Oryctolagus cuniculus: one gene and its partner. The protein of the gene in region 2 interacts with the protein of the main gene of each other region in a pairwise test. Links are inferred from orthologs where the notes say so. Each region holds a gene or a part of one and is shown on either strand. Other genes may lie near its edges.

Region 1 (4,510 bases), on a different chromosome or scaffold from region 2:
TGAAGAAGATGAAGCAGAAAGAGCGGGAGCTGCGACTGCTCATGCTGTATCCTCCCGGGGGCCGGAGCCGCGGGGTGGCGGGCGCCCTGCCGGGTGGGCGGCGCCAGGGTGCGCGGACGCTCTCCCGTCCCAACTGCCCATTGTGCGTCACGCACGTGGGCCCTACCAATTGCTCCCGGCGGGGGGCCGCGAGGAGGCCGTACCACTGGCTCGGGGCGGGGGGCTCCGTTCCGAAGGCCCAAGGTGCGGGCCTGAAGCCGAAGCGCCCGGACACGGCGTCCCGAATGGAAGGGGGAGGTGGGGCCCGGAGGTGACTGGACGTCGCCGTCCGTCGGGCGGGACGGAGCTGGGGGCCCCTGGCCGCCCCGGCTCTGACCTCCCACCCCCCCGCGGCCTGTCCGAGGGTGCCGGGCCCCGACCCCGCCCTCGAGTTCGAAATCCCAGGGGCGAGCGGGCCCCGCCCTCAGCTCGCGCGGCCGGGGGCGTGGACGCCGCGGGTCGTTTCGCGCTTGTGTCCGACCGTCCGTCTCTGCTGCGGTCACCCGTTGCTGTCCCCGGGCCGAGGGCTCGCAGGCCCTGGCTGGGGAGAGGAGACCCTGATGCGTGCATCTGTGTCGGGTGTAAAGAGCCCCGGGAAAGGCCCAGGGAGCTGAGCGCCACTGTGTGCGCGCCAGCGTCCTAGGGGCTGGGGTAACCCAGCAAAGCAGACCCTGCGTGGCGGAACGCTGTAATGCAGGGAGGAGCAGGGTGCTGAGTGGCCCGTGCTCGGAGGACCAGGCTCGCAGAGTGACAGCTGAACACGCAGAGCTGGGGGAGGTGGGCTGGGGGGGGCAAAGGGAGCAGGTGCGCCCAGAGGGGACCCCAGAGCCGCCTCCCCTGGGGCCTTCTGCTTCCTGACAGTGAGGGGTGCAGAGCACGAGCTGAGGTTGGGGAGAGAGACTGGTGGCTTGGGCCACGGTGTGAGCGGTGAGATCCTGAAAGGGGGGGGGGGACGTTCTGCCCCACTCCCCGCCCCTGGTGTCAGGTTGGGGAAGTGAGGCCCGACTGCCAGGTTCCTGGTGCGAGCAGTTACAAGGACCAGGGGCCATTGGCCGAGGCTGGGAGGAGCCGGGGAGGAGCGCAGGGGCTGGGAGGCAGAGTTCTGTTCTCCCCTGAGAGAGGCCCCAGACTTCCCGGGAAGGGCAGGTGGGCAGGTGGGCAGGTGCAGGTCGGGGGTCTGTGGAGGACACCGCCCAGGGAGTGTATGCAGGCCAGAGGTTGGAGGAGGACCAGGAGCTGGGGGTGGGGGCCCCTGGGACTCACCTTGGCGAGCAGGAGCCAGAGGCTGGTGGGTGTGGTTCAAGGATGAGGGAGAAGGCAGGGGGGTGGACAGGAGCTGCCTGCAGCCGAAGTGAGGAATGAGATGGGGGAGGGGCTGAGAGCCACAGCGGGGTCGTCAGCTGATTTTCAGGGCCTGGGCCTGGGCTCAGCAGAGGTGCTGTCCTCACCTCCAGTTTGTGGCCTTGGGTCACTCAAGGTCGGGAGAGAGACGGCTGAGTCGGGGACCTGCCCGGCCACAGCCCCCTTGCTCTGCCAGGTACACCGAGCTGTGGGAATGACTCCTCTGCTGTGAGCTCACACATCCATTTGCATGCATTTGGAATATTCACACATCCATTTGCATGCATTTGGAATATTCACACATCCATTTGCATGCATTTGGAATATTCACACATTCATTTGCATGTATTTGGAATATTCACACATTCATTTGCATGTATTTGGAATATTCACACATCATTTGCATGCATTTGGAATATTCACACATCATTTGCATGCATTTGGAATATTCCAGAAGCAGGTGAGAGTGTGGCTGTCCCCCGGGGCCTTGGCAAAGCCGGTTATTTGGATTTGGGGCCTTGGCTCAGGGCACTTCGCGTCCTCCCCAGTAGAGTGCGGGCCTGGGAGGGAGTGGCCTTGGTCCACCAGGACCCACGCCGAGGAGGGCCCGGCCAGAGGAGATGCCTGATGCCGCCGCGCCTTTCAGGGGCCAGCGTGGGCACCACTCATCTTGGCACAGGCGGGGAGCGGTCGGTCGGTCCTCGGGGCGCAGGGACGCAGGGATGCGGGGACTTCCTTAACCGGGCGCGCCGCAGCGGCCTGGACAATGCCGGCAAAACCACGATCCTCAAGAAGTTCAACGGGGAGGACGTGGACACCATCTCCCCCACGCTGGGCTTCAACATCAAGACCCTGGAGCACCGCGGGTGGGTGAGCAGGGCCCCGGCAGGGCCCGGAGCCGCAGAGGGGCCTGGCTCATCCGCTGCCGCCTCCCTCCCCTGCGCAGGTTCAAGCTGAACATCTGGGACGTGGGCGGCCAGAAGTCCCTGCGCTCCTACTGGCGGAACTACTTCGAGAGCACCGATGGCCTCATCTGGGTGGTGGACAGCGCTGACCGCCAGCGCATGCAGGACTGCCTGCGGGAGCTCCAGAGCCTGCTGGTGGAGGAGGTGCACGCCGGGGCCGGGCAGGGGGTGGGGGGTGTGCGCGAGGGGCTGGTGGAGGAGGTGCACACCGGGGCCGGGGAGGGGGTGGGGTGTGCGCGAGGGGCTGGTGGAGGAGGTGCACACCGGGGCCGGGCAGGGGGTGGGGGGTGTGCGCTAGGGGCTGGTGGAGGAGGTGCACGCCGGTGGGGGGGAGGGGGTGGGGGGGTGTGCGCGAGGGGCTGGTGGAGGAGGTGCACGCCGGGGCCGGGCAGGGGGTGGGGGGGTGTGCACGAGGGGCTGGTGGAGGAGGTGCACGCCGGGGCCGGGGAGGGGGTGGGGGGGTGTGCGCGAGGGGCTGGTGGAGGAGGTGCACGCCGGGGCCGGGAGGGGGTGGGGGGGTGTGCGCGAGGGGCTGGTGGAGGAGGCGCACGCCGGGGGGGGGGGGGGGGGCGGGGAGGGCTGGGGGTGTGTCTGCATGCGCACAGCGCTGGTGGGGCGTGGAGAGAGGCTGCTGGCCGGGGGCGGCCCTCCTCTGTGAATACATGTGTCGGGTGTGTGGACACCTTTCTCCACGGGCACCCAGAGGGACGCCTGGGACAGACCTGTTCCTGCACCGCACCCCACCACGGGAGGCCCATGGTGCCATTCTGTGCACTGCGACCTGGGCTCCTGACCCCCGAGGGCCGCCGGTTTTCTCCTCTGAGCTTCAGCGTCTGCCCTGAAGCAGGCATGACGTCACCCACAGGACTGGGCTTAGCGAGTGAGGCTCTGGGGGGCGGGGGTGGGGCGCCCTACTGTGTGCCCTCAGGAGAGCCACCTAACCGCTCACTTCCACATCCCGAGATGATCTTTGAAAGCAGAAAGATCTACTTTATGTTATTTGAAAGAGAGGGAGAGACGGAGAGAAAGATCTTCCATCGCTGGTTCACTCCCAGATGGCTGCAGTGGTTGGAGCTGGGCCAGGCTGAAGCCGGGAGCCTGGAGCTCCATCCGGGCCTCCCGCGTGGGTGACAGGAGCCCCAGCACTTGGGCCATCCTCTGCTGCCTTCCCAGGCGCGTTAGCAGGGGGCTGGACCGGAAGCGGAGCAGCCGGGACCCTAACCAGCGCTCCCACGCCGGATGCTGGCGTCCCAGGCAGCAGCTTTACCCAGTGCCGGCCTCCCGAGCAGTTTTCTTTAAAACGGTAGATTTACAGAAGAGTTGAGGAGCTGGAGCCCTCACCCCTTCATAGCTCGCGTGGTGCGAACATCTTCCGTAACCCGGTCATCTGTCAGCCAGGAGCGGAAGGCTGGGGACGGCGGTCCTGTCCCTGCTGTTGGACTCAGCCTCGCGCCGCACTGCACGCAGCTGAGAGCCAGGGCTCCTGGGGAGTGGAAAGGCAGATGTTGGGGGGGGGGGGCACAGATCATGGCCGGCAGACTCTGAGCGCACGCCCCACAGGCCAAGGCCTACAGGGTGAGGGCGATGGTGTGGAGGACGCCCGGGGAAGACGCGGGTGGAAATATCTGGAATCAGAGGCAGAGTGAGGCCTGCTGGGAGTGGCACGTGAAGGGGGAAGGCAGCCTGCGGGGTCTCTGTGGGTCAGACCATCGGAACCACAAAGAGGGCCAAGGATGGTCTTGTCGCGGGGTCTCTGCAGGTCAGACCACCGGAACCACGGGGGGGGGGGCAGGATCGTTCTGTCCTGGGGTCTGTGGGGTCTCTGTGGGTCAGACCACCAGAACCACAGGGGGGCCAAGGATGGTCTTGTCCCGGGGGTCCACGGGGTCTCTGCGGGTCAGACCATGGGAGCCACAGGGGGGACCAGGATTGTTCTGTCCCGGAGTCTGCCGGGTCTCTGCGGGTCAGACCACCGGAACCACGGAGGGGGCCAGGATCGTCTTGTCCCGGGGGTCCACGGGGTCTCTGCGGGTCAGACCACCGGAACCACGGAGGGGGCCAGGATGGTCTTGTCCCGGGGTCTGCGGGGTCTCTGCGGGTCAGACCATCGGAACCAAAGGGGGGACCAGGATCCTCTTGTCCTCGGGGGTCCACGGGGTCTCTGC
Region 2 (3,809 bases):
TCATTAGAAGCTTTATTTGTAAAGGACTCATAAAAGGAAGAGTAAAACAGAAATATCGTATCACCTTGCTAACATAAGGTTGGCATTTGGATTATTCGTCCCTGGTCCAGTTGGACTCCATTTGATAGTATAAATCTCTTTATTATGTGCTTGCAAATCATGGACACAATTGTCTTGCTTCATACTCCATATCTAAACAAAAAAGAAAATGTATATAATTATGGTTCAGTATAATGAGTACATTCAAAATATACTATCTTGCCAGCCCAAAATATGAGTGATAGAACCAAAATTAAGGGAATATTTGTAATTTAAATACAGAATATATTTAATATTTTTGGAATAAATGATATTATCTTTGTCGCCTTCAAAAATATTCACTATTGTAAGGTTTGAAGACTGAATTATAGTTTTTTTCCATGATTACTTCTGGTAGATTAAAAAGTTGCAAAGTTCAACATCAAAATGTTAAAGGGACTGCTTTGATGCTGTCCCTTAAATAACAGACATTATATATTGCTCTTAGAATTAACTAGCCGGAAATTACTTTCTGTAATGAAGTGAAAATAAGTAAACAGCTTACAAAATAATGTGATGACTCGAACAGAACAAGTGATGAAAACACATGCAATAGAGCTAAAGTAGTAGAGAATAAGCTTCTGCTGAGGTGAAAAATGCTATGTTCAGGTTAAAAAATCTGCATTAATTATGAGCAAAAATTAATAGAAACCTACATCCAGAGTATTTTTGGATGTATCAATATAGACTTGAAAGGTGGAATGGGGGAAACACATAAGATGTCTTGACAAACACAAGCACATCAACTCCAACAGCAGAAGGGAAACAAAAGTTAGCTGGACTTCATACTCCTACAATAAAACTAACAAAAAATAATGGGGTACTATCATAGTGTTTTTGCAGTTCAGGCATTTATAACCCCATGTAAATGAACTCAAAAGATGTTTTTCCAGAACAAATTTCGTTAGACTTCCTTCCAATGGCATTTGATACTGTTGGCCACTCCCATCCAGTGTCTCTGTGAAGTACTTTTCTCTACACATTCTCTCTCTTTTCCACTTTGGTCACTCCTCAGTCTCTGGAAGCTTAGGTAGGTGTTTTGTAATGAGAGAATCAGACCCATGAAGCCTCTCCATCTGCATTACTCCGACATTATTAAAATTCAATATGATCTTCTCACTCAATTAGGTATTCCCTGTTCTCAGAAAATGGCCCTCTTACAGCTTGCCCATCCACCTAGTTTTTGTTTTAAAATCCTATGTGACCTTTATTTATTCTTAAGATGCAGAAAAGCTCTCTTAAAATTTCAAGTTCCAATCTATCTCTGCAGCTGCAACTCAATCCATGACATAAGGCTCAACGAGCACCGGCTTCCATTTCCTTGTATATCATATGCTTTTCTACAAATTTTTCATTTTATAAGTACTAATATATGTACATACAAGGAAAACTCCAAAATAAAAGCATTAAGAAAAGCCTTTTTACTAGCAATGCTCCTAAGGGAGCCAGCACTTGAGAACTATCTGACTGAACAAACAGCAGGTACTTAGGGTAAAAAAAATCCAGAGAGTTCCCAAGGTTACATTCAGTCCATTCATGGTAGGAGGAAAAGCAGTTTTCCCTCAAGATTATTTTATCTGTAAAGGTTATCACATCTGCAGTCTGGTATCACAAAGTCAAAGATAAAACTGTTTTCAGTAGAGTTATCTGTTACAGAAGAGAACTGCAGGCTTCATTTATTTTGGAGATTAGTAGTTGGCTGGTTTTTTACTTCAAAATTCTTTTTCCCTAACTGTGGTACAATGTGCTTAGATGAAAGGTAGCAACAGTTTTGCTTTCAGTCAGACAAGAAAAAAATAATAAATGCAGGTTAAAACGTGGCTGCTGGCATGTAGGCTTGCTCAGTCACTCAGAGACTCCCAACTCATTTCTATCAGTTTCCCAGCCAGGGAGATACAAATTCACATCACAACAAAAGCAAATTGATACAATTCACAGAATTTCAGATAAATTCACAAATGCTTCAAAGATCTTAAATATTTGTCAGTCAGATCTTCACATGTGAAAATAAACTTTAATTGAACCAATACATAGTGTTACATTTCTTACTGCCTGTGAGGGTTAATTTTATAAGTCAACTTGAGAAAGTCATAGAGAACTCAGAGATTTAACTAAACATTATTTCTGTGTGGTTTTGTGAGGGTGTTTATGGATGAGACTGGGTTTTGATCACTAGACTAAGTAAGGCAGACTACCCTCTCTCCAGTGTAGCTGGGTATGATCAGATGCAGAGAGGTCCGGAACAAACCAGAACGGCAGCCTGACCACTGAGCTAGGATACTGGGCTTCCAGGGACTGGAACTTAACCACTGGTATTCCTGACCCCTAGGCCATGGATCCTGCCTGGAGTTTCACCAGCAGTTTTCTGAGTCTTTAGTTGGCAAACAGCAGAACATGCATGTGATTATCAGCGACCATAACCTTGTGAGCCAATTGTTCACAAATCTCTTACGATGGATTGATTGGTCTGTCCCCTCTATGGGTTCTATGTCTCTGGAGAATGCTGATTAATATGCCATCATAACTGTATGACTATTAATACAATGTATTTGCTATATTCAAGTAATTCTATATATCCCAGAAAAGAAAATTAAAGTACGCAAAACAATAATTAATCATTAGAGAGCAGGAAAAGTTCTCACCAAGGCTTAAACATACAATGTAAGAAATATTCTAAACAGTCAAAGCAGGCACACTGTGTGACACTCCCATCGCATCCCCATTAAACATTAATTACCTTCAAAGTCATGTCATCAGAGCAGGAGGCCAGGAGATTGCCAGTTGGGTCCCATTTGATAGCATTTACTTCATTCTAAAAATAAATATTCACATTTTCATTTGCTAGATTGGGTTACTGTGCAGATATTAAACAGAAACATGTCAAAATTATTCTGAAATATCACTTGTCATAATCCCTGTAACAGGGAGGGAAAAGGTTTCTTACCGTATGTCCCTGGAATGTTTTAATAGGTCTGTCTTGTCCTAATTTACAGACATGAATGCACATATCCGTACTACATGAAGCAAAGGTGTTGTTGCTCTGCCAATCAACATCCAATGCTGGTGCTGGAAAGGAACAAAGTTGAAGTTTGCATTTATTCCACATATACTGAAGTCCAGAAGCTTTAGCTTTGAACCATAGTTAAGACATTAAGCATGCTACGTGGTACCTAACATTTTGATACTTTTTAAGATACTAAGAAAAAATATTTATTTTTAAAATAAAACTATCAAACTATCATAAGCATTACTTTCCATTTAGTTATCTCTATATGAGATGCACCCTAACAGAAAACACACTGACCTACTTAATTGGGAGACTGGGGTTCCTGAGTGTTTGCTCTATAAATTACTAGCACCAAAACTTGGGTGCTGCTTTGCAAAATGGTAAGATTAAAAGTGATGGGGCTGGCATTATGGTGTAGTGGGTAGAGCCACCGACTGCAGTGCTGACATCCCATATGGGAGCCAGTTCGAGACCCGGCTTCTCCACTTCTCATCCAGCTCTCTGTTATGGCCTGGGAAAGCAGTAAAAGATGGCCCAAGTGCTTGGGCCCCTGTACCTGTGTGGGAGACCCAGAGAAAGCTGCTGGCTCCTGGCTTCGGATCGGCACAGTTGCAGCTAACTGGGGAGAGAACTAACGATGGAAGACCTCTCTCTCTCTCTCTCTGCCTCTCCTTCTCTCTGTGTATAACTCCGACTTTCAAATAAATAATTTTTTTTTTAAGTG

Evidence for each region.
Region 1: the proteins of TBL1XR1 (region 2) and ARL2 interact in binary tests that used the Homo sapiens proteins (3 or more experiments, as listed by UniProt). The two-hybrid records come from large-scale screens. The link is inferred for Oryctolagus cuniculus from reciprocal best matches to the Homo sapiens genes TBL1XR1 and ARL2.

What each region holds. Positions count from the first base shown.
Region 1 is NC_091432.1:6,521,933-6,526,442, reverse strand, and holds the start of ARL2 (ADP-ribosylation factor-like protein 2), read left to right. Parts: upstream 1-1,606; 5' UTR 1,607-1,692; coding exon 1,693-1,840; intron 1,841-2,026; coding exon 2,027-2,246; intron 2,247-2,326; coding exon 2,327-2,489; intron 2,490-4,510. UniProt on the Homo sapiens protein: Small GTP-binding protein which cycles between an inactive GDP-bound and an active GTP-bound form, and the rate of cycling is regulated by guanine nucleotide exchange factors (GEF) and GTPase-activating proteins (GAP).
Region 2 is NC_091435.1:102,882,951-102,886,759, reverse strand, and holds part of TBL1XR1 (F-box-like/WD repeat-containing protein TBL1XR1), read right to left. Parts: intron 3,145-3,809; coding exon 3,023-3,144; intron 2,891-3,022; coding exon 2,816-2,890; intron 193-2,815; coding exon 65-192; intron 1-64. UniProt on the Homo sapiens protein: F-box-like protein involved in the recruitment of the ubiquitin/19S proteasome complex to nuclear receptor-regulated transcription units. Plays an essential role in transcription activation mediated by nuclear receptors.